Callithrix jacchus: one gene and its partners. The main gene of each other region encodes a partner of the protein of the gene in region 3 in a complex. Links are inferred from orthologs where the notes say so. Each region holds a gene or a part of one and is shown on either strand. Other genes may lie near its edges. The genes, in order: RAC2, RAC1, NCF2, CYBB and CYBA.

Region 1 (6,079 bases), on a different chromosome or scaffold from region 3:
CCTGTCCCCCACAGGCTCATGATCATGGGAGAGATCAGATAAAGTCTCTCTGGGGAGGGGAGACCCCTTCACCATAGATCAGAAAGGCTTCCTGGAGGAGGGGGCACTGGAGCTGGGTATGGAGGCTTTAGGCAGGTGGATGTGGGGAGAAAAAGCACTACGGGGAGAGGAACAGCTTGAGCAAAGGCCCTGGGGTAGGAATGTGCAGGGAACTTGTGGTGAACAGTAGGGTCCAGGGGAGGCAGGGCCTGAAGCCAAGTAATGGGTGATGAGGCCAGGCAGGAGGTTGAGTGAAGGCCATCAGGGGCCTTGAGTGCCATGCTAGGGAGTCAAGGAAATGTCCTAGGAGTGACGTGGGCCCCTGAGGGCTGGCCGGAGAGGGGCTGGTGCCTCCCCAGTCATCCGTCCCTCCTGAGTCTGACGCCAATACACTCCCGCCATGTCCAATGACAGCCCTGCCTCCACGTCCTGCAATAGAGCGCAGGGCCTCTGAGGCCTGCAGATGCCTCTGTTCTGCCCCTCAGCATGCCACGGCCCCAGGTGTCCCTGCTCCCTGGGGCCAGACCCTCTGGATCACCTCCTCCTGGAGCCCAGCCTGCCTCCACAGAGGCTCCTCTCCCAGCCCCTGCTCCTGCCCAAGCCCGCCGTTTCCTCTACAGCGCTTTGCTTGGAGACCCAGCCTAAAGGCCACTGCCTCCTTCCTTCCTCCCTTTCCACCCCTTCCCCCCCCCCACCCCCAGCACTTCTTAGTGCCAGTGCTGCCTTCTTGGCTGGACCATCAGGCAGCTCTGCTCCACTGGAGGCTGTGGCTCTGGCACCCCATCGGGTGCCCACACAGGGTCTGGCCCACAGGAAGTGCCTGAAAGCGGGTCGACTTGGTGACGTTCTCTCCCCTCCTCCCAGCACCTGCGTGTCCCCAGGAACTCACACGGTGGGGATGTACTCTCCAGGGAAGGCGTTGGTGGTGTAGCTGATGAGAAGGCAGGTCTTGCCCACGGCCCTGAAAGACAGGAAGTGCAAGAGGGCGGCGATCATGGGCTCTGCTGGAGACATGGGGAGGTTTCTGCCCCATCCTCTGCGAAGACCTCAGCATCCACCCAGCCTAGCCCTCTGGGCCCTGTCTCCCTGTCTGAGACACCCCATGTCTGTGTTCTCACACCTGAGAGCCTGCAGGTCCTGTGCGTGTTTGTTAAAGTGGAGACTTCAGGGTCCAGCCCCAGAGATTCTGACCCACAGGTGTTCGCAGAGCTGGGAATCTGCATTTCCCACAGGTTTCTCCAGGGACCAGAGATGTCACACAGAGGGGGTACCCCACAAACTCAGGCCATGCCGAGGGGCCCCGACGCCTGGCCTGGGCTTCAAATCCCAGCTCAGTGGCATGACCCTGGACGAGTCACTTAACCTGCCTCTGCCTCAGTTTCTCCATCTAGAAAATCAGGATGAGCCCATCCCCATAGGAGTGTGCTGAGGAATAAATCCAACGATGCCTATCGAAGCACCTAGCACAGGGCCTGACGCACGGCAGCAGCCGGTGGCTGCTAGGGAAGGCCTGACCCAGCTCTTCCCTCTCACCTCCCCATGGAGCAGAGCAGTTACTAGACCAGGGTTTGAGTCAGAATGGGCTGGGTTCAAATCCTGTGAGGCTTTGGGCAAACTGCATAGCTTCCCTGAATTCATTTTCCCACCTGTAAAAACCTATTAGGTTTGGTGAGAGGACAAATAGAGAAGGCCGGGCTAACCCCAGAGCTGGTACCTAGGAAGGAAGGGATCGGTAATCGGAGAACGTCATTATTTGCGCACCTCCCCCACCCCCAGCATTTGAGACTGGGAGCAGGTGCAGGTAGCTCAGCCAAAGCCCGGAGACCAAGGGGCAGCTCTGGGCCTTCCCCTGCCCTGCTTGGTTCTGTCACTTCCTGCTCAGAGGAGACAGCTCATCCTCTCCTCTCTACCACAGTCCTCCCCGGGGCCTGTCCCGAGGTAACTTTGAATGACTGGGACGTTAACCCTTGACTTCCGCCTGCCCCTCTTCAGATCAGATAGAAAGCAGAAGTGAACAGGCCCGGGCCGGCGTGGGCAGATAAGCGGCCATGTATCAGAATCAGCTGAGGCTGGTGGGCAAACGGGCCCACCCCCACCTGGATGAGTCAGAGCCAAAGTGGGGGCCACAGGACCCAGGCCAGGACAGCTGAGTCTCTTACAGCCTTGGGCTGCTCCTCTGTAGCATGGGAGGGCTGGACAAGAGGCTCCTTCCAGCTAGAACATGCTGCGATGGACTTACAGAAAGCCCCAAGCTGGGCCTGTGGGTTGGACCCTAAGACATGGCTGCTGGCAGGCACGACAGATTGACAAACGGGACCTGTCCCTTTATTTTGTGTTTTTAAGAGACAGGTCTTGCTCTGTCACCCCGTGGCACAACTATAGCTCACTGCATCCTCAAACTCCTGGGCTCAGGCGATTCTCCCACCTTAGCTTCCCGATAGCTGGGACTACAGGCGCGTGCCACCACTCCTAGCTTTTAAAAATGTTTTTGTGGCCGGGCCTGGTGGCTCATGACTGTAATACCAGCACTTTGGGAGGCCAGGCAGGCAGATCACAAGGTCAGGAGTTCAAGACCAGCGCCTGAGCAACATGGTGAAACCCTGTCTCTACTAAAAATACAAAAGTTAGGGAGGTGTGGTGGCATACACCTGTAATCCCAGCTACTCAGAAGGCTGAGGCAGGAGAATCGCTTGAACCTGGGCAGCGGAGGCTACAGTAGCCAAGACTGCGCCACTGTACTCTAGCCTGAGTGACAGAGTGAGACCCCCCCCCCCCCGCCAAAAAGATAAAAAAAAGTTTCTGTAGACATGGGTTCTCATTGTGAATGCCTAGGCTGGTCTCAAGCAACTCTCCCCACTTGGCCTCTCAAAGCGCTAGGGCTAAAGGCATGAGCCACTGCACCTGGCCTAGACTCGTCATTTTACAGATGAGGAAACCGAGATTCCCCAGGAGACATGACAGCCTGGGGGTCACTGGGATCTGACAACTGAGAAGGTGTCAGCCCAGCCTGCCCCTCCCCTGCAGATCCCACAATCGCCCTCCCATCCTGCGGCCACCTCCTCCCTCTCCTCTCTGTCTCTCAACGTCCCCTTGCCCCTTCTGCTCCTCGCCCACATCCCCCACACATCCTCCCCAACCCAGCAGGCTGAGGGGAAGGGAGAGAGAGGGGGGGGTGGTACCAGCAGGGGGTGGTTATTGAGCACACATTACAAGCAAGACAGCCACTCAGCTTATGTCCAGCGACCCCACAGCATCCCTAGGGCATAGGCCTCCTCCTCCCAGATGGCTGAGGTTCAGAGACATGCTGTGACTTGCCCAAGGCCACACAGCAGCACCAAACCAGTGACGAGAGCCCAAGTCAGCCTGGGGACGAAGGCTGAATTTCTGGTTTCCCACTTCGCGGGTGCATCCACAGAGTTGAAGGCTGAGGCTCACCTCCGTGGGAGACCTGCCCCCAGCTTTGGGGGTGCAGGTAAGGGGCCTGGGCACTCCCAGCCATAGTCCTGCACCCTCCACCCAGATGGCTTCCAGGGTGGGTGGGCTGAAGAGGGTGAAGCTGTCCTCAGCCCACCCCGGGGTGCTAGCTGTGAGCCCTAGGAGAAGAATGAAGCGACTCCTCCAAGCTGCCTTCCAGGGACACCTAATTCTGCAGAGCCAGGGGCTTCCCCAGGGACACCAGGGCGGGAGGATCTCACAGCATCCCAGTTGGGGGCTGTGAGGAGGTCCAGCCAGGCACCTACCCATCTCCAACCACCACACACTTGATGGCTTGCATCGTGTCCGGGGCCTGGACAGTGTCAGTGGTGACAGCTCAGGGCCAGGCGCGTTTCTGCAGGCACAAGGGGTGTGGAGGCTGGCAAGGCGCCTGCTGAAGAGCAGCAGTGGTGGGGTGGGAGGAAGCGGAAGGGGAACTTACCCAAGCTGCTGCCCTCAAGGTCGTTTGCAGGGGGTGGAGCATTCGGTTTGGAGGAGCAGCTGGTGGGCGGGGCGCTCAGGTGCTGGCTGAGCCCTGGCCATCCCTGCAGCCCCCCACCTCCGGCCTCCCCTCTGTGGTAGGAGGCTCAATTTCTGACCACTGGGCAGGCCCAGAGGCTGTTCTCCAAGAACGTGAGGCTTCCAAGTACACCTCAGTTCTAAGCACAGCATTTAATGAGTGCCTACTGTGTGCCAGACATACTACCAGGTGCTAGTGATCCCAGGATACAAGAGACAGCTGGTCCCTGGAGTTTACACCCTTTGCAGAGGGGGAGGCAGGACTTCATCACGGGAGATTAGAAAGCAGGCAGGAAGTGACTGGGGCAATGGGGACTCTACAGAGAGGACCTCAGTGTTACCGAGAGGGAGAGCTGGGGGCCTGCAAGCAGCATTGGAGCTGGCTCTTGAAACATTTGCTCTAAAGAGGGTACTCCAGGTTCACGGAGATTTCTTGAGCCAGGACCCAGGGGCTCCGCCAGGGAAGGGCCTGTGTGGGAGGATGGGGAGTGATGAGGCAGGAAGGGAAGGTGTGGTCCACAGATGGAGAAAGGCATGTTGAGGGGAAGTGGCAGGCAGTGCCCTACAGGCACCAAGCCTGTCCTGAGGCCGCCCTGGGTCACCAGGCACTCTGGATCTAGGAACTGTGGCCCACTTCCCTGATGTGAAAACTGACGGTCTGAGAAGTCATTTGACCACCTAGCCTGAAACCACCCTGACGCTCAGTTTACTCCAAGCTCTTCTCCAACTGGAGCTCTTGGCTCCAGCTGCTGTTTGAGGGGACAAAGCCTGCATTCTCCAGCTCTCAGGGAACTCCCTTAGCCACGAGGGCTCTCCGAGGACACTCGGGAGAACATTCGATCACCCCTGTTGGCACCAAGTTCACTGATCGTCGTGATCACTCCCCAACCCCACGCCTTTCCAGGTCCAGGGGGAAGGGACAGAGGCAGGGAGAGGAAGAGCCACTGGTCATCCACCCTGGACCGTCCCTCAGGACAAGCCAGGAATCCCACAGGAGTGTGCAGAGGGCCAGGGCCCGCTGGCTGGCAGAGCCCAGGATTCTCAGCAGGCTCCTGGAGGCCGAGCCCTTTCAGAGCAGTTCACACAAGTTACTGCGTTCACAACACTGATTTTTACAGAGAGGAAAACACAACTTCCTAAAGCGCCTGCCCAGCACCGGGCAAGTCAACTGTGACACTTACCAGCAAACCAGTGTCTCTCCAACGCGCTTTGCATACGCTGTGCTGAGACCTTGGGTGGGAGACGCCAGGCGTTCCCTGTGGCCACCCTGGGGCTTCCTCCTTCACTGCCCCTTTATTTTTCCACCCACTGCTAGTCCCTAGGGCAACCTCCGTGTTAATTTAAAAAACAAAAGGATAACGTATTAAATGCAGTGCGGTACCCCAAATTAGAACCTGGAACAGATTTTGGGAGGCCGAGGAGGGTGGATCACAAGGTCAAGAGATCGAGACCATCCTGGTCAACATGGTAAAACCCCATGTCTATTAAAAAAATACAAAAAATTAGCTGGGCATGGTGGCGCGTGCCTGTAGTCCCAGCTACTCAGGAGGCTGAGGCAGGAGAATTGCCTGAACCCAGGAGGTGGAGGTTGCGGTGAGCCGAGATCGCGCCATTGCCCTCCAGCCTGGGCAACAAGAGAGAAACTCGGTCTTGAAAAAAAAAAAAAAGAACCTGGAACAGAGAAAGAACATTCGTGGAGCTTCCATGAGACAGGAAGAGTAAGTTCTGGTGTTCTGCCACACAGTGGGGTGAATAGAGCAAATCACAACGTCGCGAATATTTCGAGAGAGCTGGGAGAGAAGGTTTCAGATGTTGTTGCAGCAGAGAAATGATACATGTTGAAAGTGATGGACGTGGGAATTACCCGGATTTGATCATTATATGGCTATGCATGCATCGAAACATCACATCGTACCCCATAAACATGTACAATTATGTGTCAATTACAAATAAAAAATTTTTTTAAAGAATTCATTTCTAGTTCTTGAAGCTCACTACCACCTCTGCCTCCCAGGTTCAAGCAATTCTTCTGCCTCAGCCTTGAAAG
Region 2 (6,353 bases), on a different chromosome or scaffold from region 3:
TTGGCCTCCCAAAGTGCTGGGATTACAGTTGTGAGCCACCTGACCTAGACAGGTATATTTCACTTGTAATATCACTTAGCGCTAATCAGCATCAATAGTAAACATAGTATTAAAAAATAGACTGTGCTTGCTCAAACACTTGTAATTAAAAAAAAAAAAAAAGACTGAAAACTCAGGGCCACAGGCTTTTAAGCCTAATACTCCCTTCGCAGAGCCTCACAGTAGTGAAACCAAAGCAATAATACCTGGCACTTACTAAGCACTCAGCAAGGAGCACCTGCAAGGTAGTTAATGATCAACATCTAGTTTAGTCTTTTTGACCTTCTGCTGAGGCGCCTCTCTTGCCGGGGTGGGTGATGTGCTCAGGGTTATCCCATATAAGTGGTGGGGTGGGGATTTGAAGGGAGGATCCACATTCCATGATAGGCCTTCAACAAGTTATTTGACTAGACAAAACAGCCAATTCAAACAGAGGTCTATAATCTGTTAGTATTAAATAAATGTATGTGCTATGCTTATGTTTTAGCTTTAGAAATGTTCAAATAATTATCAGCAATATGATTAAAAAAAAAAAAAAAAGGCTGAGGTGGGCAGATCACGCGAGGTCAGGAGTTTGAGACCAGCCTGGCCAACATGGTGAAACTCCATCTCTAACAAAAAATACAATAAAAATTAGCTGGGCATGGTGACAGGCACCTGTAATCACAGTCACTCAGGAAGCTGAGACACAAGACTCGCTTGAACCCGGGAGGCAGAGGTTGCAGCAAGCAGAGACTGCACCACTGCACTCCAGCCCAGGCAACAGAGTGAGACCCTGTCTCAAAAAATAGTAATAATAATAATATGGTCAGCCAGGCACAGTGGCTCATCCCTATCATCCTAGCACTTTGGCCTGTCATCCTAGGCCAAAGTGGACAGATCACCTGAGGTCAGGAGTTCAAGACCAGCCTGGACAACATGGTGAAACCTCATCTCTACTAAAAATACAAAAAATTAGCTGGGTGGTAGCACGCGCCCGTAACACCACCTACACAGGAGGCTAAGGCAGGAGAATCGCTTGAACTCAGGAGATGGAGGTGGCAGTGAGCCGAGATCACACTATCACACTCCAGCCTGGGCAACAGACTGAGACCCCATCTCAAAAAAAAAAACAAACAAACAAACAAAAAAAAAAAAACTTGATTCAGCGTTTTTAGCTTAAAGGAAATCCAAATAATGTTAAATGTTCTTAAGAAAAGGTGGGCCAGGTGCCATGGCTCACTCCTGTAATCCCAGCACTTTGGGAGGATAAGGCAGGCAGATCACTTGAGTCAGGAATTCAAAATCACCCTGGCCAACATGGTGAAACCTCATCTCTACTAAAAATACAAAAACTAGCCAGTCGTGGTGGCAGGCACCTGTAATCCCAGCTACTCGGGAGGCTAAGAATCGCTTGAGCGGGTGAAGTGGAGGTTGCAGTGAGCCAAGATGGCACAACTGCACTCCAACCTGTGTAACACTGAGAGACCCTGTCTCGAAAATTTTTTTTTAAATGAAACAATTCACTGATGTCACTATCAATCAATTGACTGAACACTTTTCCCAAATAAAAAAGTAAAGCCCAGCCAGGCACAATGGCTCATGCCTGTAATCCCAGCACTTTGGGAGGCTGAGGCAGGAGGATCACAAGGTCAGGAGGTCAAAACCAGCCTGGCCAATATGGCGAAACCCCATCTCTACTAAAATTACAAAAACCGGCCAAGCATGGTGGCACGTGCCTGTAATCCCAGCTGCTAGGGGGGCCGAGGCAGGAGGACCACTTTAACCTGGGAGGCAGAGGGTGCAGTGAGCAGAGATCACACTGCTGCACTCTAGCCTGGACAACGGAGTGAGACTCCGAGTCAAAAAAAAAAAAAAAGCTTGAACAGCATACGTACTCTAACTGAAAGTTACAATTTTTAGTTATCATATAAACATAAAATTATGAGGCGTTAATAATCCTTCACACTTGCAAGACAAATCCGACAGATGGGCCTCTCACAAAAATCAGTTGTCTAATTATCCTCTTGCATCTGAATTGCAAGAAGGATAACTGAAACAATTGCAAATGTCTTAACAGTATAATTATCTAAATACACTGAGAATCCATGAATTGACGTAGAGGCATAAAACCAAAACCTAATGACAAATTCGAAGAATATCAACCAAGTTAACCTTGATGCCCTAACTTTCCTTCGACTTTACTCGAACATGTACCAGTTGCATTCTGAGTTTGACGAAACTGTTAGTAATTCTTCCTTGCTAACACTAACCTATACAAGCGACGCCTGAGACGCGCGATTTTGCTCGGGTTACACTGAGATTTTTGTTTCTATGGGAGAAAAAAACGGCATAAAACAAGTCTTGTCCTTCTCGAGGGCCTGTAACCAACACGGACAGTCATGAAAAGCAACGCCTGGAGTCACAGGAGCCAGTTCTGCTACATCCCATACCCAACGCGTTAAGCAAGAAAGTTTTTTTTTTTTTTCAATGACCACACCACGTTTAAAAAAATAAAATAAAATAAAGAAAGATAAAAGAACAGTCCCCATCACAGATGGCTCCTGCCAGGGAGCATCTTAAAAACTTTATCCTCGGAAAGGGAGAAAGCATTAATTTTAGGAATCCTAACAGTGGCAGAAGTGTAAGTCGAAAAAACCTGCTCAAAAATCAGTTTGGGGGCCGGGCGCGGTGTCAACCCAGCGCTTTTGGAGGCTGACAGGCAGGAGGTTCGCCTGATCCCAGCCAGGAATTCGAAACCAGCCTGGGAAATACAGTGAGACCCCATTTCTACAAAAAGTTTTAAAAATTAGCCAGGCGTAGGCGCCTGTAATCCCAGCATTTTGAGAGGCTGGGATGGGAGAATCGCTTGAACCCAGGAGGAGTTCAAGACCAGCTTGGGCAACACAGCGAGACTCCGTCTCTGCAAAAAAAAAAAAAAAATTTTTAAAGAAAACTTTGGGGCACTAAAGCGGCCAGTTCAATCGGGCACGCATCAAATATGATCGACTCAACCGCCGGGTTCCCAACACAGCTCTCGAGGTCCAGGGATCGAGAGGTTCAAGCAAAAAAACAAGAGAGGGTCCCTTTTTGGAAAAACGGTAAAAATCTCCAAGAGCGCTTCCTCTACGAGGGCTCCCGGGGAGGGCGGCGGGCGGCGGGCGGCGTCCGGGAAGAAAGCCGGAGGGTGGAGTTCACTTTTTCCACCGGCCGGCGAGTGGCGAAGCCCTCCCCCAGCGAGAGCCGGAACCAGGCACGCGCCGCCCGGGCAGCCGGCGCCCGCGGCCCCCGCCCCGTGCCCCACAGGCCCAGGCCCACCGCCTACGCGAGCCCGCCAGGGATCCCGGCCTGCCTGGGCCCCAATCCCGGCCCGCCCCCCGCCCGCGCCCACCCCGGCCCGCGCCCGCCCCCGCGGCCCCCAGCCCAGACCCGGCAACGCACTTACCCGTCTCCCACCACCACACACTTGATGGCCTGCATCTGGGCCGCTCGCTGGGCCGCGGCGGCAGCGGCACGGCGCTGAAACGGGAAGCGGCGGGCTCGGGGCGCGGCGGACGGGCGCGCGGCTTGAGGACGGCAGGGCGCTGGATGCCGGGGCCGCTGTCCACGCCGCCTCGCCCTCCGCGGACTGGAAGCCGAAGCCCGGCAGCGGCCACCACCCAAAGCTGGGGAAAACTGCAGAGAAACAGGAAATGGCCGCTCCACTCACATCCGGCCTCCCCTCCCCCGCGCCGGCGCCGCCGCTCCCAGGTTCCGGGTGGGGCAGCTCCCGCCCGCGCGGTTCCCGGAGTTCCTCTGGGCTTCAGGAACGCTCGGAAGTGCTCGGGCCCGCTTGTCTCCGCCCACGGGGCGCGGCGGCTGCCATCTTTGCGCGCTAACGCGGCATAGGCGTGGCGGGATCTGCGGGTCCTTTCTCTGGGGTTCAGTGCGCGGTGGCTCAAGCCTGTAATCACAGCACTTTGGGAGGCCGAGACGGGTGGATCACGAGGTCAAGAGATCGAGACCATCCTGGTCAACAAGGTGAAACCCCGTCTCTACTACAAATACAAAAAAATTAGCTGGGCATGGTGGCGTGTGCCTGTAATCCCAGTTACTCATGAGGCTGGGGCAGAATTGCCTGAACCCAGGAGGCGGAGGTTGCGGTGAGCCGAGATCGCGCCATTTGCACTCCAGCCTGGGTAACAAGAGCGAAACTCCGTCTTAAAAAAAGGAAAGAAAAACCTGTAGTAGCTGGGCGCGGTTGCTCATGCCTGTAAACCTGACACTTTGGAAGGCCGAAGTGGATTACAAGGTCAGCATTTCGAGACCAGCGTCCGGGAAGAAACGAACGCTGGTGAAAACCCGTCCCTACTAAAAAAAATACAAAAATTAGGCCGGGCGCGGTGGCTCATGCCTGTAATCCCAGCACTTTGTGAGGCCCGAGATAGGCATGGGAGGCCTAGGCGGGCGGGAGGCCCGAAAATACGGATGGGAGGGCGAGGCGGGCTGGTGGCCCGAGATAGGGAGTTCGAGACCAGCCTGACCAACATGGAGAAACCCCGTCTCTACTAAAAATACAAAATTAGCCGGGCGTGATGGCACATGCGTGTAATCCCAGCTACTTGGGAGGCTGAGGCATGGGTATCGCTTGAACCCAGGAGGCGGAAGTTGTGGTGAGCTGAGACCGCCCCATTGCACGCTAAACAGGAGCGAAACTTCGTCTCAAAAAAAAAATTAGCCGGGCGTGGTGGCAGGTGCCTGTAATCCCAGCTACTCAGGAGGCTGAGGCAGAGAATGGCTTGAACCTGGGAGGCGGAGGTTGCAGTGAGCTGAAATCGTGCTACTGAACTCCAGCCTGGGCTACAGATTGAGATTCCATCTTAAAAAAAAAAAAAAAAAAGAGGAACCTGTGGTTGCAGGAGCCAAGCTCCCTGTTGCTAACACCTGCTTGAGGCCATCAGAAGGCATTGATTCCTCCTGTTTCATTCTTTATCTGATAACTATCTGCGATTACATTAGATCCTTCTAGAAAATTCGGATTCTAAAACTATAAGGAAGTCTAAAATCATACACCATACCTTTATTTGGCAATAACAATGTCCATTCAGCCAAAAAAAAACAAAAACAAAAAACAAAAACTGTTGCTGGCAGGGCCCGGTGGCTCACGCCTGAAATCCCAACAATTTGGGAAGCCCCGGGCAGATCACTTGAAGTCTGGAGTTCGAGATCAGCCTGGCCAACATGGCAAATCCCCGTCTCTACTAAAAATACAAAAAATTAGCTGGGCATGGTGGCGGCTAATTTTAGTCCCAGCTACTCGGGAGGCTGAGGCATGAGAATCGCTTGAACCCAGGAGGTGGAGGTTGTACTGAGCCGAGATCTTGCCGGTGCACTCCAGACTGGGCAACACAGCAAGACTTCTCAAAAACAAAAATGTGTTGCATGTTCTCGTTTGTCGCATATGCATTTTCTGTTACTTGTTTTTAGCTCATTTAGTGCTGTGCTTTCTGCTTTGTACCAAGTTCTGGAGATAATGGCTGTTAGACGGTGAAAGTGCAAATATTTTGGTATATTTCCTCTTTTCCTCTTAGTTATCTCTTGATATACATAAAGAACTTTTTTGTGTGTGTGCTGTGACTCGGACCTAAAGAATGTTTTTTAAGCAAAATCAAGAAATTGTACACAGTTGTAACTTTTTTTTTTTTTTTTTAATAAAATACAGGTAGGATCTCATTATGCCCAGTCTGGTCCCGAACTCCTGGGCTGTAATGATCCTCTCACCTCGGCCTCCCAAGTAGCAGGGATTACAGGTGGGTGCCACCACACCTAGCTAATTTTTCTATTTTTTTATAGAGATGGAGTTTCTCCATGTTGCCCAGTGAGCTGTTGGAACTTTTTCTTTTTGGATGCATAGTTTCCCTCTCGTCTCCCAGGCTGGAGTGCAATAGTCTGATCAGCTCACTGCAACCTCCACCTCCCAGGTTCAAGTGATTCTTCTCCTGCCTCAGCCTCCTGAGTAGCTATTAGGTATGCACCATCAGGGCCAACCACTTTTTAAATTTTTAGCAGAAATGGGGTTTCACCATATTGGTCAGGCTGATCTCGAACTCCTGACCTCGTGATCTGCCCACCTTGGCCTCCTAAAGTGCTGGGATTACCGGCTTGAGCCACCGCACCCAGCCTTTTGGAACATTTTTAATGGCTGTTTACATGCAATAAACGTACATTAATTTAAACAATTCTGCACAGTTGAGTTGTCCCCAATCTTTTTTTCTTTTTGTTTCGAGATGGAGTCTGACTGTCACCCAGGCTGGAGTATAGTGATGCAATCTCTGTTCACTGCAACCTCCGTCTCC
Region 3 (6,080 bases):
TGTCTAAGGCAGTTTTATATTTCTAAGGAAAGTAGCATTTCATTCAGAGACTGCCCGGAGTGTGAATTACATCAGTTTCCACATTCTTTCTGATTTGCAGTTTTTCCAAGCAGAGCCATATTACTGGAACAAAAGTTTGATGTTTATGTCCAACAAGCTCTGATATTTTATAGATACATTTGTATAGAGCAAGACTTCTTGCTCTAAACCCTGGGTGACCACAAAGAAACTGAGAGGCCATGCTTATTGGATGCTGAGGGAAAGTAGCATACTTAAACCCACAGTACAGATGATCTGGAGGCAAGCAAAGACAGAGCTACAGCTTGGTAGTGGTAGTCACCCACCACTTATTCCAAAAACATATTTTGCTTAAATAAGGGAAGTATGGTCCAGTTTTGCAATGTTAATAGCTGCCAGTCTCATATTTTTTTTTATAAATATCATTTCCTGACTAGCAATGAGCTAGGAAACTGGCCTCAAATTCTGACTAAATCTCTCAGTATTAATTAAAAATAATACAAAACAAAACAAAAAACCAGCCAATAAGGGTTAAAAATTGCACAATTAAACTTGAATGTAAATTATACTATATACAGATTGGTATAAACATCACTGAAATGGTTTTGAGAGGATGAAACACTTCTATTGTAACATAATTTCTTCAATATTATCCCAATTTTCATTGAAGGAAAACTGATATGTAATTTTCTTCTTTACAGATATGAAAAAGGAAGCAAGAAGGCAAAGCTGAGAGAAACAGATGCTACCCACAGGGCAGCGGTGGCATTTGGTTGTTTTGGTCTTTGTACCAGCAATTCCCACTCCCGAGGCAGATATCCACTTCCTGCCAGACTACACGGTTTTTCTTGCAGTCAAGACACGAACAATGGACCCTACTCCTCCAGCAGCAAGTGCCTACAAACAAACCAAGATGTAAATGTTGACAGAATCATAAAGGATCAATTCTCATAAGTAAAACATTTTTCTTGAAGAAGGAATGGGCATGGCTATAGACCTTGAATTTATTATTTAGCAAATAATAAATTCTTAAGCACCAATTACATACCCGGTACTGTTCTTGACACTGGGGTTACAGTAATAAACAAAACCTTAAAAGTCCCTGCCCTTATGAGCCTACATTCTAGTGAGACACTAGTTTACATTCTTCTGTATTAATTCTAAATAATGTTTAAAAAAATCTGCAGCATAATGTTCCTGCTCAAAACAGGTGGAAATTCCAAATCTCTCATTCTCACCATATAGCCAGAAGAATATTCAAACTGGGATAACCCATCCCAACTTGTACTTCAACTGGAGCCTCTGTCAAATTGTTTTCTCCCAAAGAAAGAAGGTATTGCTTAATAGCGAAGAACTTAGAAACTTTAACTCTGACTCTAAGTTGAAAAATGGAAAGTAATGATCAAGTATTAGGGATCTGAGCTCTGGTTTATCTCTGTTCAAAAAATACTTATGGAATAACTCTGTATTCTGTGGCAGATGCTGGGGATATAAAAGTGAACAAATACAGCATTTTCCAGTCTAGCACGAGGAGACAGACCTATAAACATATAATTTTAATCTTATGTATGAAAAGAGAGTTGTACTTTGGGTGTTATTAAAGTACCAGGGAGAGGCATATACCCAGATTAACAGTATAGAGGAATGTTTCAGCTAAGGCTTCCTGGAGGAAATGACACATTAAAACAATGAGTAGGTGACAAGCTAACACCAGAAAATCATGAGCAAATGTATAGAGGTGTGAAACGATATGGTGTGTTCAGGAAAAAGGCTGGCACTGCTATAGTCTGAAGGGAAGAATGACATGGAAGATGAGGCTAGACTTGGGAACTCTGACTTTATCCTGCAGGTGACTGACAAGAGCAATTTTGATTTTAAAGAAATCATTCTGATGGCTGGGTGGAGAACAGATTTGAGGGAGACAAAACTGGTAGCTGGGAAACCAGTCAGGAACCTATGGCAACAGACTGGGAGAGAAGCTGTGAACAGTTGCATTAGATAAACTTGAACAGACAGATTTCAAAAATACTTAGAAGACTGGTAAAAACTGGTGACTGACATTTGGAAGAAATGAAGATAACACATGTCTCAGTTTCCTCAGCTACCAAAGAAGAATAATATCAAGGTTTCCCCTCCATTTTTATGAGGATTAAATGAGTTAATATTTAGAAAGTCTTTGGAAGAGTATCTGGAATATACTAAGTGCTCAATGAATGTGCACTACAATCCTGAGGCTATACTAGAACTAAACTGCCTGGGTTTTAAAGCTGGCTCTTCATCTGTAAATTGAGGATAAAGGTATTTATATATTTCACGGGGTTGTTGTAAAGATGAAATAAAACATAAATAATATGTTGCCTAGCAACACAAAGTGTTCCATGAATAGGATGCCATATAAATTACTATCCAAACTGGTATATTTTAGAGTAAAAGGGGTAACTATTTATAGTTATGATGGGACAACAGGCATAAATTGGGGCTATACTGGGAAAACTGTGAGGAATGGTTACCCTATCCATAAATGGGAGTTCTTTTTGATAGTGTATGAGGGATAAGGTGACTCGACCAAGGATAAACAAGTTTTACTATGTACTTTTTTCTTACGTGTGTGTTTTCACTCATACACTTCAAACACTGAATATTTTTATGGTTGGTTCTATTTAAATGTTATTCAATTTTTTACCCAAAGTTCAAAATCCCTTCTACTCCTTTTTTTTGACAGATGGTGTACAGGCAACTACACTGCCAAATACACGTGTGAAAATAGAAAAAAATGATTTAAGAATTCTTAATCCTCCAAACCCCTAATTCTTTAAAAAATAAAGTTGTAAAACATATAACACAAAATTTGCTATTTTAACCATCTTTAAAAGTAAAATCCAGTGGCATTAATTACATTCACAATGTACTGTAGCTATCACCATGAACTGTTTCCAAAACATTTTTTACCACTCCAAGCAGGAACTCTGTACCCATTAAGCACTAACTCTCCTTTCCTTGCTTTCCCTACTTCCTGGTAACCTCTAAGGACTTTCTGTCCTTTTGTGTTGCCTATCGTAGATTATTTCATATAAATAAAATTAGAAGATTTGTTCTTTTGTGTTTGGCTCATTTCGCTTGGTATGTTTTCAAGGTTCACCCATGTTACAGCATGTGTCAGAGTGTCAATCATTTTTATGGTTGGATCATATTCCACTGTATGTACCACAATTTAGCTGTTTGTCTGTTGATGACTCTTGGCTTGTTTTCACCTTTTGGTCCCTGTGAAAGAATTCTTGATTTTTATTATTTCCTTTTACAAAGTTTTGATTTAATTCAAAGTTCAAGATTATGTTTAATTACTAATAATCACTGCTGAATAAACCCAAGTATTGGAATCAGAATCTCTTAAGACTAAGCCTAGTAAACATAAATATGAACTATAATTTTCATGCATTTTATTTGCAGTAACAAAAATGTACAACCAAGTCAAAATGGTTATTTAGGTGAAAGAGGTTGTCACTGTCATTCCCTACTGTAAAAGAACCAGTCATATAGATTTATAATTCATAACTTACCTTTTCATGCCACTGCAGTAACATAGCACTGCTATTATCAGAGGGGCTCTCAAATCCTTTATAAATATACTTCATTAGGAGATCCACACCATTCTTGTCCAGAGATTGAACTGCCTTTTCAATATCATTAGCTTTAAAAGAGATGAGCACCTTCAAGACAATGCTGCCTGCCCGGTCCTGGTGGGTAAATAAATAACAGAACATTTAGACATATGTGTATGAGGAGGGTTTACAATTTTAGAAAGGCCACATTAAGAAGGTGACATTTGAGTAAGAACCTGAAGGGCGTGAAAGAGGAAAGGTTGGGATAACTGAGGAAAGTGTTTCAGACAGAGAAAAGACTAGCGCTATTAGTGTGTGTTCAGTGTGTTCTAGGAATAGAAAAAAAACCCAATGTGGTTGGAGTGGATTTGTTGGAGAAAAGCCGGTGAGCAAGTCAGAGGCTGTGGGAGGACAGACTGTGTAAGGCCTACAGGCATTGTAAGGACTTTGGCTTTTACTGAGAGAAATGAGAAGACATTGGAGGGGTTTAAGAGCAGTGCCATAATCTGACTCACATTTTAACAGGTTCGCTTTGGCATCTATGCTACAGGGAATAAGCTGTGGGAGTAGGGGACAAGGTAGAAGCAGAAGAGCAACTAGGAGGTAACTGCAATAATACAGGCTGGATGTGGTGAGCAAAGTAGCAGTGAAGGTGGTTAAAAACTAGATAGACTATTGACATAATTGAACGAAGAGCTGAGAGGATTTGCTAACAGATCAGGGTGATTCATGAAAACAATTCATGAAAACATTTTATGTCTTGAGCTTAAAAAAAAAAAAATCCCCATAAGACAGCCAGGCATGGTGGCTCACTCCTGTAATCCCAGCACTTTGGAAGGCCGAGACGGGGATCACCTGAGGTCAGAAGTTCGAGACCAGTCTGGCCAACATGGCAAAATCCCGTCTCTAATAAAAAAAAAAAAAAATTAGCTGGGCATGGTGGCATGCTCCTATAATCCCAGGCTGAAGCAGGAGGAACGCTTAAACCCAAGAGGCGGAGGTTGCAGTGAGCCGAGATTGCACCACTGCACTCCACCTGGACAACAGAGTGAGACTCTTGCCACAAAGAGAAAAAAAAAAATCCCAATAAAACAAGGAAGCGGATTTGAAGTTCTACCTTGAACTATCCTTCAGAAGTAATGTTTTTTAAAAACTTTTTTATTTTAAAATTTTAATAAACCAACTTTTCTTAAAAGAAAACTGGCTGTAATTTATATGAATTGACTATAAATATGAAAGATAGTGATGTTCATTAGTAATGATCTTTTTACTTGGCAAAAGCCTGCTTCAAAAGCAGTTATTTTCTTACCTATCCGGCCAAGCAAAGGGAACACTTAGCTGACCTTTTCAACAATTCGTTTCTCCTTCTATTCAACATAATGTGATACCTCCAGCATTCCTACTGGTCAGGACTTCACAGAATGTTTCTACCACCCACTGTTATCTTTGGTTTAAAGATTATGCAATTATCAGAGTTAGGAAAGCATCTTTGCATCCAGAATTATAACCTCCCACATAAAAGCAAAAGGTGGTAAAAATGAAATTTCAATGACATTATTTACGACTTGTAAAAAAAATCAAAGAAATTTTCCCCATGATGTTGCCTAGATAATTATTATGCATTTACCTAAGTTATTACTTACTACTATTCAATTGAGATTCTTGAAGCTCCTAGGATGCATGATAGCTATGGACAATGCGGTTGATGCTATGGACATCATTTTAAATAAATACGTAAAAATAGGTTCTTAAGAATTAGTAAAAGACTGCAGAGAATGTAAGTTGCACAACTGTTCTGAAGGGCAATTTGGCAATACCACATATATCAAAAGCCTTAAAAAAAGTGCATTCTTTGATTCAATAATTCATGGCTATGCATTTATTGAAAGCGAGTAATCAAAAATTTACCAAAAAATATTCATTTCAGTGGTTTACAACAAGAAAAAAACAGTCTAAATATATAACAAAACATTAATTATGTATACACTGCAGCTTATCCATATACAGCTGTTAAAAATGCTATAGAAATAAACTTAATGCAAAGGAAAGCTCATGTACATTGCATACTGCTGAAAAAGCAGGTTATAAAATTTCATTCTTAAAAAACAAAAGGGAACTCTGTAACAATATAGGAAGGCCCAAAAGTAGTAACATCTCTGGGTGGTGGGACTATGGCTACTATCTTTTTAACCTTTCCATATGTCTGAGCCTTCTACAATAAACATTTAGTATTTGTATGTTTTTAAAAAAATCTTTAAAAAGCAATTACAATCTGTTTACTTTTGTAAAGGTTTGTTATTTTTCAAGCCTTTGTCTAAATTCAGCATGAGTGGTCTTCTCTAAAAACACACACAGATGATTTCACTATCATTTGAACTTACTGTGTCTTACCACGCAGCATTATTGTAACTCTACATTACAGGGCTACTTTTTCATGTGAAATTCTTGCCTATCAAACTACAT
Region 4 (5,619 bases), on a different chromosome or scaffold from region 3:
GAGGTCCACTCCAGGCCCTGCTTGTCTGGGGTGCTCCTATAGCAGCTGCGGAACAGCGAGGGATGCTACCAGTTTCTTTTTCTGCTATCTTTGTCCCAGAATGATGCCTGCCAAATGTGAGTCTTTTGGATATAAAGGGGTCAGGGAGCTGCTTGAGGAGACAGTCTGTACTTTATAGGAACTCAATTGCTGAGCTGTGAGCTCCATTGTTCATTCAGGGCTGTTAGGCTGCTATGTTTAATTCTGCTGCAACAGAACTCATAAGAAAACCCTTTTTTTCTCAGATGCTCTGTCTGGGGGGATTGGGGCTTTATTTTTGAGTGCCCGTTGTGTTGTCCTGCCCAGCTAGGAGGCAGTCTAGTCACTATTTGCCTGCCGAGGCTCCGCCCTGCTGGTGTGAGTTTCGCCCTGTTGCTGCAGTCTCTGCCCTTCTGCTGCGGTCTCTGCCCTGCTGCCACAGGCTACGCCCTGCGGCGGAGTCTCTCTGTTGTAGCGGGTTGCCTCGGCAACGGCAGGCTGCATCAGCAATGGGCGTGTACCTCAGTAGGGGCGGATTGCCTCGGTAATGGCGGACGCCCCTCCCACACGGAGCTGCTCCCTCAGGGAACCTCTTTACCGGGAGTGTTTGGAATCGCTGTTTTGTTTGTCCCACTGTGCTACCCCAGACGCTGTGTCCCTGGAATCTCCTGGGCTGGCTTACTGTCCAAGTCCCATTCGGTCTCAAGTTCAGCCCTCTAAAGTCTCAGGTTGCTGGTTCAACAGGGCCCCCGGACCAGTGCACTTTGTGCGGAGCACTGTATAGCGCCGCTGTGCTACAGCACGGGCCACCACCGCACCGGCTGGTGGCTGCTGGCTGCTGGCTGCACCAGCCAAAACCTCTGCCTGGCGTCCCGCATCTCTTTTATACCTGGGAATTTCCCCGTTCTGTGGGCAACAAAGATCCGTCTGGAAATGCGGCCCTGACTTACCCTCTCCGCGCATTCGAGAGCTTCAATCCTGGGTTGTTCTCACAGCACCATCTTGAGTCCTCTCTCATCTTTTCTTCCTATGTATTCTGAAGACACTGTCATTTATGTTCCTTGATGTCTACTCAACATTGTGCCTTCCTCTATCACCAATAATTGTCTTATGTTTTGATAGTTGCTCATCTAACATTTATTGAATTGAAATTGATGGGCTCTGAGCACTTCAAGGTACACACTATTATTGTTGATGTCAGTGAGAATGGCATAAGCCCTATAATGTTAAGTATCTCAAACTGGTCTCAAAATGTTGGTTTAATTTAGATAATTTCTGAACCCACAAATAAGGCACTTCTGGTAACCTTCAGGGCTACTGTGTATGATTGTCTGGGTCATCCACTATAGTGAGTGCCAAAGACGATAAAGTTAGCCCACACTTTGATGATTGAGCCCTGTGCTAGTAGGACTATCCTTATAGAAAGTGTACCTTTTTCTAATTTGCATAAAGGCACTGTATGGACCAGCAGTCACTCTGTTAGATTTGCAATTTTTCTGCTTTTATTTGTTTGTAAATGAAAATGATACTTGAGACAGAAGTATAAATTCTCCCTTTAAGAGAACATATATTAATGATCCAAGACTTACCCTCTGTAATGTTACATGTAAATATCCCTTTGGTAATTGAACATATGTCTTTTTCTATTGCTGCATATTATACATTTTCTTTCCTTTAATCTATTCAGAGGGAGCAATAAGCTATCACTTTTAAGTGAGAAGTACAGGACCTACATCAGAGCACTGAAAACATGTCTAGAATCTTTTAATAAAACAGTTTAATTTCCTATTACTAAATGGTCTGGACTTACATTTTTCTCCCAGACGAATTGTACGTGGGCAGACAGCAAAGAGTTTGAAAGAGCACAATCCAATGGAGTGTGAAAACAAAATCTCAGAATGGGGAAAAATACAGAAATGCCCAATCCCTCAGTTTGCTGGGAACCCTCCTATGGTATGTACAGTTCATTGTTGTTATTACAGTTCATTACTGACAATCCTTTACCTGTGCCTAAGAAACATGTACAGATGTTATACATCTACATAGATGTCCATTACAAATGTCATGGAACAGCTAAAACATGTGTCTACTTTTCTCTGCTATACTTATTGGATATAACTCTTTCTTGAAAAATAAGCTTTGCATTGTTTTGTTATCAACATCCTGATATAAAACTTGGAAAAATAGTGTTTTTAAAAGTGCTATTTTGGTCAAGAGGTTCTATCTCTTTTCTTCATGACAACACCAGCTAATGATTTTTAGGGGACACTAGGGATTCCATCTTGAGCTGAGTTGAATAGCTCAAGTAAATCATTTATAAGGAGTAAGGGGCTTCTTGAGATACCAGCACATGATACTTTCTGTACAGCTTTCAGATTTAAAAAGGAAATTGATGAGGTGGCACATAAGGCTACCTTTAGGCATTAGGAGTTTTCTGTTTATGAGGCATAAAGGAGGCTAAACAGCCAGGTTCATATGAACACTCAATGGCATCATGTGGTAGGCAGAAATGCGGCAAATGACCAAGGAAATGCATGATGAATACTTTCTTTGCTCTATTGGGAGCTCTGAAGGGCTCCATTTTGTTTATTCTCATATCGCTGTTCCATGGAGTAAGATATGGGCCTTGTAATCATCATATCATTCTGCCCATTGGCAGACAGTATACTTTGTTGGTTATTATGCTAGCCGTTGGTATAAAACTAGGCAAAAATCAACATTTGTGCAGAGCTTCTGAAGAGGATTATTTTTTTTCCTGAAGCACAGTACAACATGAAGGGAAATATCCCATTCTATTTATCTTTTCTTTTTTCCTACTCTCTTAGCATAGGATTACTCTTTCTCTAGACACAGCATACTATCTGAGGACTTAATATCTTTAAGCATCCTATCCCATTAACGAAAGCAACCAGACAAATCAGTGAATTGGCTCCACTACATGCAGACATCAATAGAAAGGATAAAAAAGGGAACTGTATTGCCAGTCCTCTTGTGGGCAGGGGAAGGCACATTCCTTGATGACAGCTAGAGTCAGAGTACTAGCACCTTAACAGAAACCTACCTCAAAGAGTTTCTAGAGATACTAGCAGCAATATCCAAATCTGGCTCCATTCAGTAGGGCTCCATAGTAGCACCCAGGAAACAGATGGATGATTTGAGACTGTTTTAAATATCTATCCCATCAAAACAAAGGCCAACAGCAGAACTCTGTTTATATTATTCTTCAACTTTGGCTGAAGATGGGGAGATTCAGGTGCTCTCAATTTCCAAGAGTAAGTTTCCTGTAAAAGTAATTTCATAGAAAGATTATATGTGAGATGATGGGAAGCACTCTGTTTTTTTCTGTTAGAATACATCCCAGAAAGTCATCTTTTAGATAATTTTGCCTTCTAAAATTCTTTGCTACTTTAGGTATTAAACCAGATATCCAGCTGGCTGCATCTCAGGATGGATCTGTTTGGCCTCAATGTTTTTGTACCCCCAACAATGTTACAGAGTAATTCCAGTGTTCTGAAACACTGCACGTTCTGACCCAAGAGATACCTAAAGTCTGAAAAGCTCTGGGTTTGTCTCCATTCAGCAAGTGCATTGCATACTCCAAGAATTTATCAGAATATTGCAGAAACAGCCAAACTCTTGCATAAAATCTGTCATCTTTCAAATTTGTCACTGTGACTACATAGCTAAGAGAAAGCAATCACAATGTTGCATTAAAAATATTGTGTTGCTGAGTTATCCTTTAGAGAAATGTTAATTCTGAAACCAACCTTGCTTTGTTATAGGGTTATTGCAACTGTAGTTGCAACACTGAGGGGAAATCCCACTCTTGTGAGCAGTTCCTCTTGGGAAAGTTTTATATTGTCAGTACAGTTCCCCAATGTGACTAAGGGGAATGTTTACTTTTACTGGATCAAAATTATCTTAGTTTCAGATATTTTCATATATTCCATTAGAGAAAAATTTATTTATCTAATGTCAAATATTTAAGCAAGCCTACAAAGATTAACTTGACTTCTGAAATTTTTCCCCTCTGAATATTTTGTTATCTATTACCACTTTATGTATCTCATTTTAATTTTTGCTCTGATTACAGACTTGGAAATGGATTGTAGGTCCCATGTTTCTGTATCTCTGTGAGAGATTGGTGCGGTTTTGGCGATCTCAACAGAAGGTGGTCATCACCAAGGTATTGATTGATTTAGTAATTACTAGTGGTCAGCGTGTAACTATATCATGGACAAGTCTATCCAACTTTTCTATAGCATTGATCAGAGTAGTCTTTTACTCAGTTTATTTTAATTAAAGTTACAGCAAAGAGAAGACCTACAATTTATTTCAATTTACTTAACTCAATAGTCAAATGTTTGTGTCTTTAACTGGGGAAACTACAAGTTACCATTTTCGATGTTAAAATGAAGCTAAGTTGTTTGTGTGCATAAATCTCCCCCACTCACCGTGTGTGTGTGTGTGTGTGTGTGTGTGTGTGTGTGTGTAGGGGAAAGGCACAGAGGCATTATTTGGTTAGTTAAGAGCAGAAAAGAAAAAGAAGTGAGTTTAAAGGGGCATAAATTGAGTCTTAAAATTTTCCGATGCCAAAAGGTTGAGATGGTTTTCCCGATTATCTACCACCTTTTCTGTGCTGTATATGTAATAATCTATATGAAAGTCGAAGTGCCCCAAATTTCAGACAAGTTAGTAACTAAGCTGCCTCTCAAATTTGATCTCCTGTTTCCAAGTCTAGAGTGGCTTTTCCTGAAGGCTAATCTGTTTCTTATCACAAAATAAATAAATATACAACTAAATAAATGTAAATGGAACTCTTTGTTATAATTTTAGGAAACATCAAGAAAGTATATCTTTAGCAAATAAAATTTAATTCAATTCAGCTCAGTTCAAAAGGTATTTGCCAAAACCCTACCATGGGTTATCTTTGCAAAACACACAAATTCTTCCTGTCCTCCACCCTATCTTTCCTCATTTGCTGGATTTGGAAGTCTTGAAACATAGGGAACCACAACAGTTCTCCTTTTCTGACATTTATATTGTACTATAAGAATAATCCCACAAATCAGCAAAAAAAAGTTGCTGCAAAATTTCCCTTACTAGACTATAGGTGACTGAACCAGACAAGTATTTTTCTTAAACTTTTAAGGAAAACTTGTTTTCCTGTGAAGAAAATAGATATTCATTTTCTTCCCATATAAATAAGTATGAGAAACAAGATGTTATCCAAAAGTATTCCAATGAGAATGCTGTCCCCTTATTTACTTACATCTTATCTGTGTCTATGATAGCAAAATTGCAATATGGTAAAAATTGTTTCCACCACACAAAATTACAACATGGTAAACAATTTTCAACATAATTTTAATTTTCTGTTTTCAAAATGAAGCTTTACAAATCCTTATTTCAGAGCAGAAGGGAAGTTGGTTTTAGCTTTAACGTGTAAGATGCATTTAAATCACAAGTTCTGGAAACATTTGACAATTAAAAAAAAAATAGTTTCCCACTCTTCCACAACTCCCTGTTTGAGAAAAGCCCAGCAATATCAGTTAACATTTGGAAGCTGCTATGCTATTTTATTTCTACTGATTTTTCTTT
Region 5 (6,356 bases), on a different chromosome or scaffold from region 3:
GCTTTTCCAGGTTTCTGAGGGGGCTGCAGGTGAGGCCAGCCTCTCTCCCCGCTGAACTTAAGGCTGCGCTGGCCATGGAGCCGACTCCTGGTGGGGTCAAGTACATCATCGCCACTCAGGTGAGGCCCAGTACCCTGTGGGGTTTCCTTTCCTGCCAGAGGGGCCCGCCCAGGCTCAGCCCTGCTCCCTGTCCCTACCGTGTTTCAGGCCAGAATGCCTTTGGCACTTGCATTTCATTCATTTGCTCTCAAACAGGAGGCTGCAGGCCACTAGCGAGGCCAGAGCAGCAGGACTGGGCCAGGCTGGGGTGGAAGGATGAGTCTGATGCAGGCTCCCAGGGAGACAGGAGGGGAGTGCCTGGGATGGGTGCTGCTGGGGCTCCCCCCACCCCAACTGGCCCAGTAGACCAGGACTCCTGCTTCTGACCTGCTCAGGGGGCCAAGCCCTTGTCAGCGATCACACCCGCCCGAGCCATTGCCTTCAACTTCCTCTCAAGGGCCGCGGGCACAGGGCTGTGTGCTTCCAGGCACTGTGGTCCTCTGTCTACCCAGTGACAGGCAGTGCCCCAGGCAGAGGGCCCCCAGCTGGCAGGGGCATCTGTGCCTGCAGGAGCTGGGTGTGGGTGTCACTTGGGTGGCATAGCTTCTGACCAGGACCCACTGCTGCTCTCCTGTGTCCAGCCCCTACACATGCTGGGGCACAGGGCAGTGTGCTGCCATTGCTGGTGACCTGACATGGATCTCTACCTCCAGGTGGGGCCGGGGCCTCAAATCCTGGATGACCCCTACACCCACCTCCTGGGTCCTGATGGCCTGCCGAAGCCAGCTGCCTGACCGCCTCCGCAGGACTGCACGCCACCTGGAGAAGGGGTGTCCTCACCAGAGCTAGAAAGCGGGTGTGGTGGACTGGCTGGACCGCTGGGACTTGTGTGTGGTGGCCTGGCTTCGGGCCCATGGGCAGCGTGCTATGGGGCAGTGCGGGGAGACCTGCGGCTGCCGGATGTCAGGAGAGGCCCCCACCGAGTGCCTCAGCTACACCAGCACTTCGCCAGGATGGATGGGGTTGGGGCATGAAAGCTGGCAGAGCCAGGTGCGGCAGGGCTGAAGGGCTTTCTCACCGCGCTCCGGCCGTTCCCACTGCTCCAAGACGGGAGTTCGGCAGGAAGTTGGCATCCCTCAGGGCCAGGGAAGGGGTCGCTGTGCTGCAGCAGCCACCTTGGGCCTCAGGAAGCCACCAAGTGTCTCCGATGAGACCCCCAGGCCCAGGTGTTACGGGAATGGTGGCAGGAGTGGGCAGCAGCATGGCCCTCGTGGCCGTGGGAATAAAGTGGCATTGCGGCCTCTGTCTCCTGCTGTTTTCCTTCTTTTGTTGTTTAGATTCAGTGAGGTCCTCCTGTTTTCCTGTTTCCTAAACCAGCATTCCTGGGCTCCTGCTCAGAGTGGCCTGGGACTTGCAGGGAGTCCAGGTGTGCCCTGTGAGGGCCTGGGGAGCCAGGTAGAGGCATGGGAGGCTCCCCTGAAACCCCACAGTGCCTCAGGCCGCCCCTAAAGTCTTCCCATGGGCACTGGGCCCACCTCCCACTTATCACCTCTGCTGCCCTCTCCTCACCCTTACACCAACCCTTGCCTCCCATCCGCAGGCTGGACATGACAGGGCAGCTGTCCCTGTCCCCTCCCCCTGAGTCACAGTCACAGTGCAGTGATGGCGAGGGGAGGCCCACAGTGTCAGACTCAGGCCACGCCTGTGCCAGCCTAGAGTCAGGGTGAAGAAATGGGGGCAGGGCCTCAGGCTGCCACGGGGAGGCCACCCTTGGCCCCTGTAGCATCAGGGTGCAGAGGTGTCCTGAGCTGTAGGGGTGGCCCCCAACCCCCAAGGCTCGGGAGAGGCGGATCTGCTCAGGAAGCTGACCCTTCACACCTTTCTCTGCTGTTCCTAGAAGGCTTGTTGACACAGGACAACAAGGACACAGTGGTACTTTGGAAGTCCTGCGCTGGGCAGGGGCACTAGTCAGTGCGGGAGAGCAGAAGCTGGGAAACGCAGACGCCCCGCCTGGCCTGGGGCTGCCACGCTGAGCCCCTCCTGAGCCTCGGTCGCGTCTGGAGAGGGCGAGGGCAGAAGGCTCCGGGACAGCCCCGCACCCTAGAGGCGGGTCTCCGCCCACCCGCGGTCACCTGGGGGGCTGGGGGCGGGGCCGGGGCGGGGCGGGGCGGGACTGGGCCGGGAGCGCAGGGGCGGCAGTGCGCGCCTAGCAGTGTCCCAGCCGGGTCTGCGCAGCCATGGGGCAGATCGAGTGGGCCATGTGGGCCAACGAGCAGGCGCTGGCGTCCGGCCTGAGTGAGTGCGCGGCAGGGGCGGTGGAGGCTGCAGCCTGGGGGTGTCCCGAGACCCCAGCCGGGGACCTCAGACTACTTACCGGGCGGGGAAGTGGGGCACCAGGCGGCTGGGCTGTGATGGGATCAGGCCCGGAGGGTGCGGGGAACGGGGGCTGGAAGGAGGAGTTCCGAGACCCCGAACAGTCCGCTTGCAGACCCAGCGGAGCGGCGCCTCCTCCCCCATTCGCTTCCCTCAGTCCCCGACTCCGCGAAGGAGGAAGTTGCAGCGCAGGGAAAGAGGCGGTTCAGCCCCGGTGGTTTCCGGGGTGATCGCCGCCGCCCCCCCCCCAGGCCCCTGAGTGGGGGCTCTGGCCTGGACATCGGGAGAAGCTCCCCTCCCTTCGGTAGCCAGCTGGGCTGGGGATCAGGCCCCCCTGGGCTTGGGGTGGGAAGGTGGGCTCCTCATGCTGTGGGGCTCAGCCCTCCTCATCTGGAGTCGCCTGGGATTTCACAAGGCACGGAAACCACCGGGTGACCGCCCTGCCCAGCCCAGTCCAACATCCCACCCTGCTGCACATTTGCCCTGATCTGCCCACCCCAGCCTCCCCACCCCCTCCTCCAGCTGCCGGGGCTTCCTTTCTGTTCTGTATGTTCTAAGCATGCCCAGGGCCTTGGCACAAGCTGCTGCCTCTGCAGAGCCTCATGGCTGTCCCATTTCTTTCTCAAATGCCACCTGCTTGGGGAGGTCTCCAGAACGTGGAGCCCCAGGAGGCAGCTGGCCCTGAGAGAGTGGGGCCCTTGACAGAGTCCCTGTACACAGCAGGTGCTCTATAAGTGTGGCTGGGTGCCACAGTATGTCCTCAGGCCTCCCTGGTGGCACCAGCAGCAGCCTTGCACCCTCTTTCGGAGGGCAGGCTCAGGACTGGGACACTTCCCCAAAGATGCACGGATGACAGGCTGAGTGGACTGAAGGACACTGCCCTGCCTTCCTCCAAGGCAGATGGGCAAGGTCAGGGAGTTAATGTGTAGCTGAGCTCAAACCACGGATAGGAAATCTTCAGGGAAGAACAAGGGGTGACAAGAGCAATGCTGGCAGGGTGAGGCGGCCACACCTGTAATCCCAGCACTTCGGGAGGCTGAGGTGGGAGGACTGCTTTAGCCCAGCGGGTTGTGACTGTGACTGTGGCACAATGAGCTGTGTTTGTGCCACTGCACTGCAGTCTGGGTAACAGCAAGATCCTGTCTAGAAAACAGTAAGCAGGGCCAGGCACCATGGCTCACGCCTGTAATCCCCGCACTTTGGGAGGCCAAGGCAGGTGGATCACCTGAGGTCAGGAGTTCAAGACTAGCCTGGCCAATGTGGTGAAACCCCGTTTCTGCTAAAAATACAAAAATTATCCAGGCATGATGGTGCACGCCTGTAGTCCCAGCTCCTGGGAGGCTGAGGCAGGAGAACTGCTGGAACCCAGGAGGTTGCAGTGAGTTGCGATTAGGAGAGCCACTGAACTCCAGCCTGGGTGACAGAGGGAGACTCTGTCCCCCCCCCAAAAAGAAACCAGTAAGAGGGAGTATCAGAAAATAAGCAAAAGAAAGGGGCAGAAATGGCCCCATCAGTCGGAACCAAAAGTAAGACCGACAGCTGCCGGGTTTGGAGAAGCTCTGCGCCAGGGACACTCCCAGATGCAGAAACCACACTGGGCATATAGGCTTTCATGCATCAAACAAAGACACGGTGACAAGTATGTCCATTCGGGGGTCCCAGAGCCCAGGAGCACAGGCCCACTGGTGCCTGCAGGTCAGGCCGTCCCTTGGCCGCTCCTGGGCCTCGGAGCCCAGGCACGTCACACACTCCACTCCGCCAGGCCATGCGCCACCAGCTCTGCTCTTCACCAGCGCAGGGGGCTGCCTCCTGGGGTGTCCCCGACTCTGTCACTGTGCTGTGGGGATCCGTAGGGACAAACACATGGACTGCAGAAGACAGTTCTTGGTGGCCTGGTGGCCCATGGTAGAGAAAGGGGGTGGCCCAGGCCTCCAGGATGGGAGCCACTCAGTGCCTGACCCACTTCTCCCCGCAGTCCTCATCACCGGGGGCATTGTGGCCACTGCCGGGCACTTCACCCAGTGGTACTTTGGAGCCTACTCCATGTATCCTTCCACCTGAGGCGGGGGTGGGCAGGGAATGCCCAGGGCAGAGCCTGGGAGCCACTTCACAGGGAGCACTTTGCTTCCGCTCCCCAGCACTGCAGCCAGGCTGGAAGACAGGGCGGGCTGTCCAGGGGTTGGGCAGCCCAGGCCCCTAGCCTGGGCCATGTGGTGGTCAGTGGCAGACCTGCCAGCCTGAGTCCTAGCGAGGGGTGGGCAGGTGGTGTCCCCTGAGGGCCAGGGCCAGGGCCAGCACTGGGGCCTCCCTAGGACTGCTGGGATCCCCATTAGTCATCCACCTTGGCCAGCCCCTCCACCTCCTCTGCCCCATCTCAGCCCTGCTGCCCTACCAGACCTCCCAACAAGGAGCAATGGGCAGGGTGGTATGAGGGCAGGTGTGGGCCAGCCTCAGGTGCACCTCCTGTGGCTGTTTCCTGCCCTGTGACCTCAGGCAGTGGCTGCCTCACCCCACTTTTTTTTGAGACAGGGTCTCGCTCTGTCCCCTAGGCTAGAGTGCATCGGTGCCATCATGACGCATAGCAGCCTCCACCTGGGCTCAAGCAATCCTCTCACCTCCGCCTCTGGAGTGTCTGGGACCACAGGCGCATGACACCGCACCTGGCTAATTTTTAAATGTTTTGTAGAGATGAGGGCCTCACTATGTTGCCCAGGCTGGTCTCAAACCCCTGGGCTCTAGTAATCCTCCCGCCTCAGCCTCCCACAGTGCTGGGATTCCAAGCGTGAGCCGCCATGCCCGGCCCCTCTTCATGCTGTCTTAGTAAAGAGGGCTCACCGTGTGGCCCCTCAGGCTGAACTGGGCTGTTCCTTAACCACATGGCTTCAGTGTGGCGGGCGTGTTTGTCTGCCTGCTGGAGTACCCCCGCGGAAAGAGGAAGAAGGGTTCCACCATGGAGCGCTGGTGAGTCACCTCCTGCATGCTCTGGGGTCTGTCCCAGGGCTGTGGGGCCCAAGCAGGGCCCACAGGGTCTGGTATGTGGAGTCTGGTTCCTCGCTCGGAGGCTCTGGAACCAACCATTCGGTCCTTGTGGGCAAACCCAGGCCCGTGCCTGCCTGGCATGTTGCCTGGGAGGAAAGAGGCCCGGGTGCCCTGGAGCGGTCCGGAGTGGGAGAGGCCCACCTCACTGTCCCCCTTCCTCCCTCCCACAGTGGGCAGAAGTACATGACCGCCGTGGTGAAGCTGTTCGGGCCCCTCACCAGGAATTACTACATTCGGGCCATCCTGCACCTCCTGTGAGTCCCGCCCCACCCCACCCCACCCCCTCTGGGGCTCAGGACGGCTTGGAGCACTGTCCCACCTGCCGGGCTGCCTGGCCTGGAGCCACTGCCACTTACCTGGACATTTTTCTAAACCAAAATTCGGGTCCCCAGGTGTGTCAGGGCCCCTGGAGCCTGTATCTGCTGTCCAGTGTGTGGGATTCCTAAGGATCCTCCCCAGACCTGAGCAGCTCCGATCACAGCAGAGTGGACTGGGCCCACAGGCCCTGCTGGGGGGTCTTGCCTGGGCTTCCTGGTAGCGTGGAAGTTCCCACGCTGTGTGTCTGGTGGTCGCTGCCGGCCAAGGCCGGGACACCTGCGTGTGGCTGCCCTACAGCTGCGGGGGCTTCCTTCCAAGTGTGCAGAGCTGCTCATGTCCCCATCAAGGCTGAGAACACTTAGGACCCAAACAAGCCCCTGGCTCCACATGTCCCCTTGGTCTGTGGTCTGTCTTGTCCTGAGACCTCATGGCCTTGGCCCCCATACCTGGGGCTCCGTTCCCTTTTCTGAGTGCCCTTCTGTGTCCCTCCCCCCCAGGCTGTCGGTGCCTGCCGGCTTCCTGCTGGCTACCATCCTCGGGACCGCCTGCCTGGCCATTGCCAGTGGCATCTACCTGCTGGTGAGTAG

The links.
Region 1: NCF2 (region 3) and RAC2 share a complex: the UniProt entries of both Homo sapiens proteins name them as parts of the phagocyte NADPH oxidase complex. The link is inferred for Callithrix jacchus from reciprocal best matches to the Homo sapiens genes NCF2 and RAC2.
Region 2: NCF2 (region 3) and RAC1 share a complex: the UniProt entries of both Homo sapiens proteins name them as parts of the phagocyte NADPH oxidase complex. The link is inferred for Callithrix jacchus from reciprocal best matches to the Homo sapiens genes NCF2 and RAC1.
Region 4: NCF2 (region 3) and CYBB share a complex: the UniProt entries of both Homo sapiens proteins name them as parts of the phagocyte NADPH oxidase complex. The link is inferred for Callithrix jacchus from reciprocal best matches to the Homo sapiens genes NCF2 and CYBB.
Region 5: NCF2 (region 3) and CYBA share a complex: the UniProt entries of both Homo sapiens proteins name them as parts of the phagocyte NADPH oxidase complex. The link is inferred for Callithrix jacchus from reciprocal best matches to the Homo sapiens genes NCF2 and CYBA.

The regions. Positions count from the first base shown.
Region 1 is NC_133502.1:208,154,226-208,160,304, forward strand, and holds the start of RAC2 (ras-related C3 botulinum toxin substrate 2), read right to left. Parts: upstream 3,926-6,079; 5' UTR 3,815-3,925; coding exon 3,780-3,814; intron 1,001-3,779; coding exon 929-1,000; intron 1-928. UniProt on the Homo sapiens protein: Plasma membrane-associated small GTPase which cycles between an active GTP-bound and inactive GDP-bound state.
Region 2 is NC_133503.1:16,111,946-16,118,298, reverse strand, and holds the start of RAC1 (ras-related C3 botulinum toxin substrate 1), read right to left. Parts: upstream 3,706-6,353; 5' UTR 3,499-3,705; coding exon 3,464-3,498; intron 1-3,463. UniProt on the Homo sapiens protein: Plasma membrane-associated small GTPase which cycles between active GTP-bound and inactive GDP-bound states.
Region 3 is NC_133519.1:41,800,273-41,806,352, forward strand, and holds the start of NCF2 (neutrophil cytosol factor 2), read right to left. Parts: upstream 3,755-6,080; 5' UTR 3,753-3,754; coding exon of another isoform or gene 3,576-3,752; intron 916-3,575; coding exon of another isoform or gene 853-915; exon of another isoform or gene 1-852. Other genes in the region: ARPC5 (actin-related protein 2/3 complex subunit 5), read right to left, coding at 853-915, 3,576-3,752. UniProt on the Homo sapiens protein: Subunit of the phagocyte NADPH oxidase complex that mediates the transfer of electrons from cytosolic NADPH to O2 to produce the superoxide anion (O2(-)).
Region 4 is NC_133524.1:38,583,135-38,588,753, forward strand, and holds part of CYBB (NADPH oxidase 2), read left to right. Parts: intron 1-1,841; coding exon 1,842-1,971; intron 1,972-4,111; coding exon 4,112-4,204; intron 4,205-5,619. UniProt on the Homo sapiens protein: Catalytic subunit of the phagocyte NADPH oxidase complex that mediates the transfer of electrons from cytosolic NADPH to O2 to produce the superoxide anion (O2(-)).
Region 5 is NC_133521.1:46,306,034-46,312,389, reverse strand, and holds the start of CYBA (cytochrome b-245 light chain), read left to right. Parts: upstream 1-2,236; 5' UTR 2,237-2,276; coding exon 2,277-2,334; intron 2,335-4,387; coding exon 4,388-4,457; intron 4,458-5,298; coding exon 5,299-5,373; intron 5,374-5,621; coding exon 5,622-5,705; intron 5,706-6,266; coding exon 6,267-6,348; intron 6,349-6,356. Other genes in the region: MVD (diphosphomevalonate decarboxylase), read left to right, coding at 11-119, 753-833. UniProt on the Homo sapiens protein: Subunit of NADPH oxidase complexes that is required for the NADPH oxidase activity that generates, in various cell types, superoxide from molecular oxygen utilizing NADPH as an electron donor.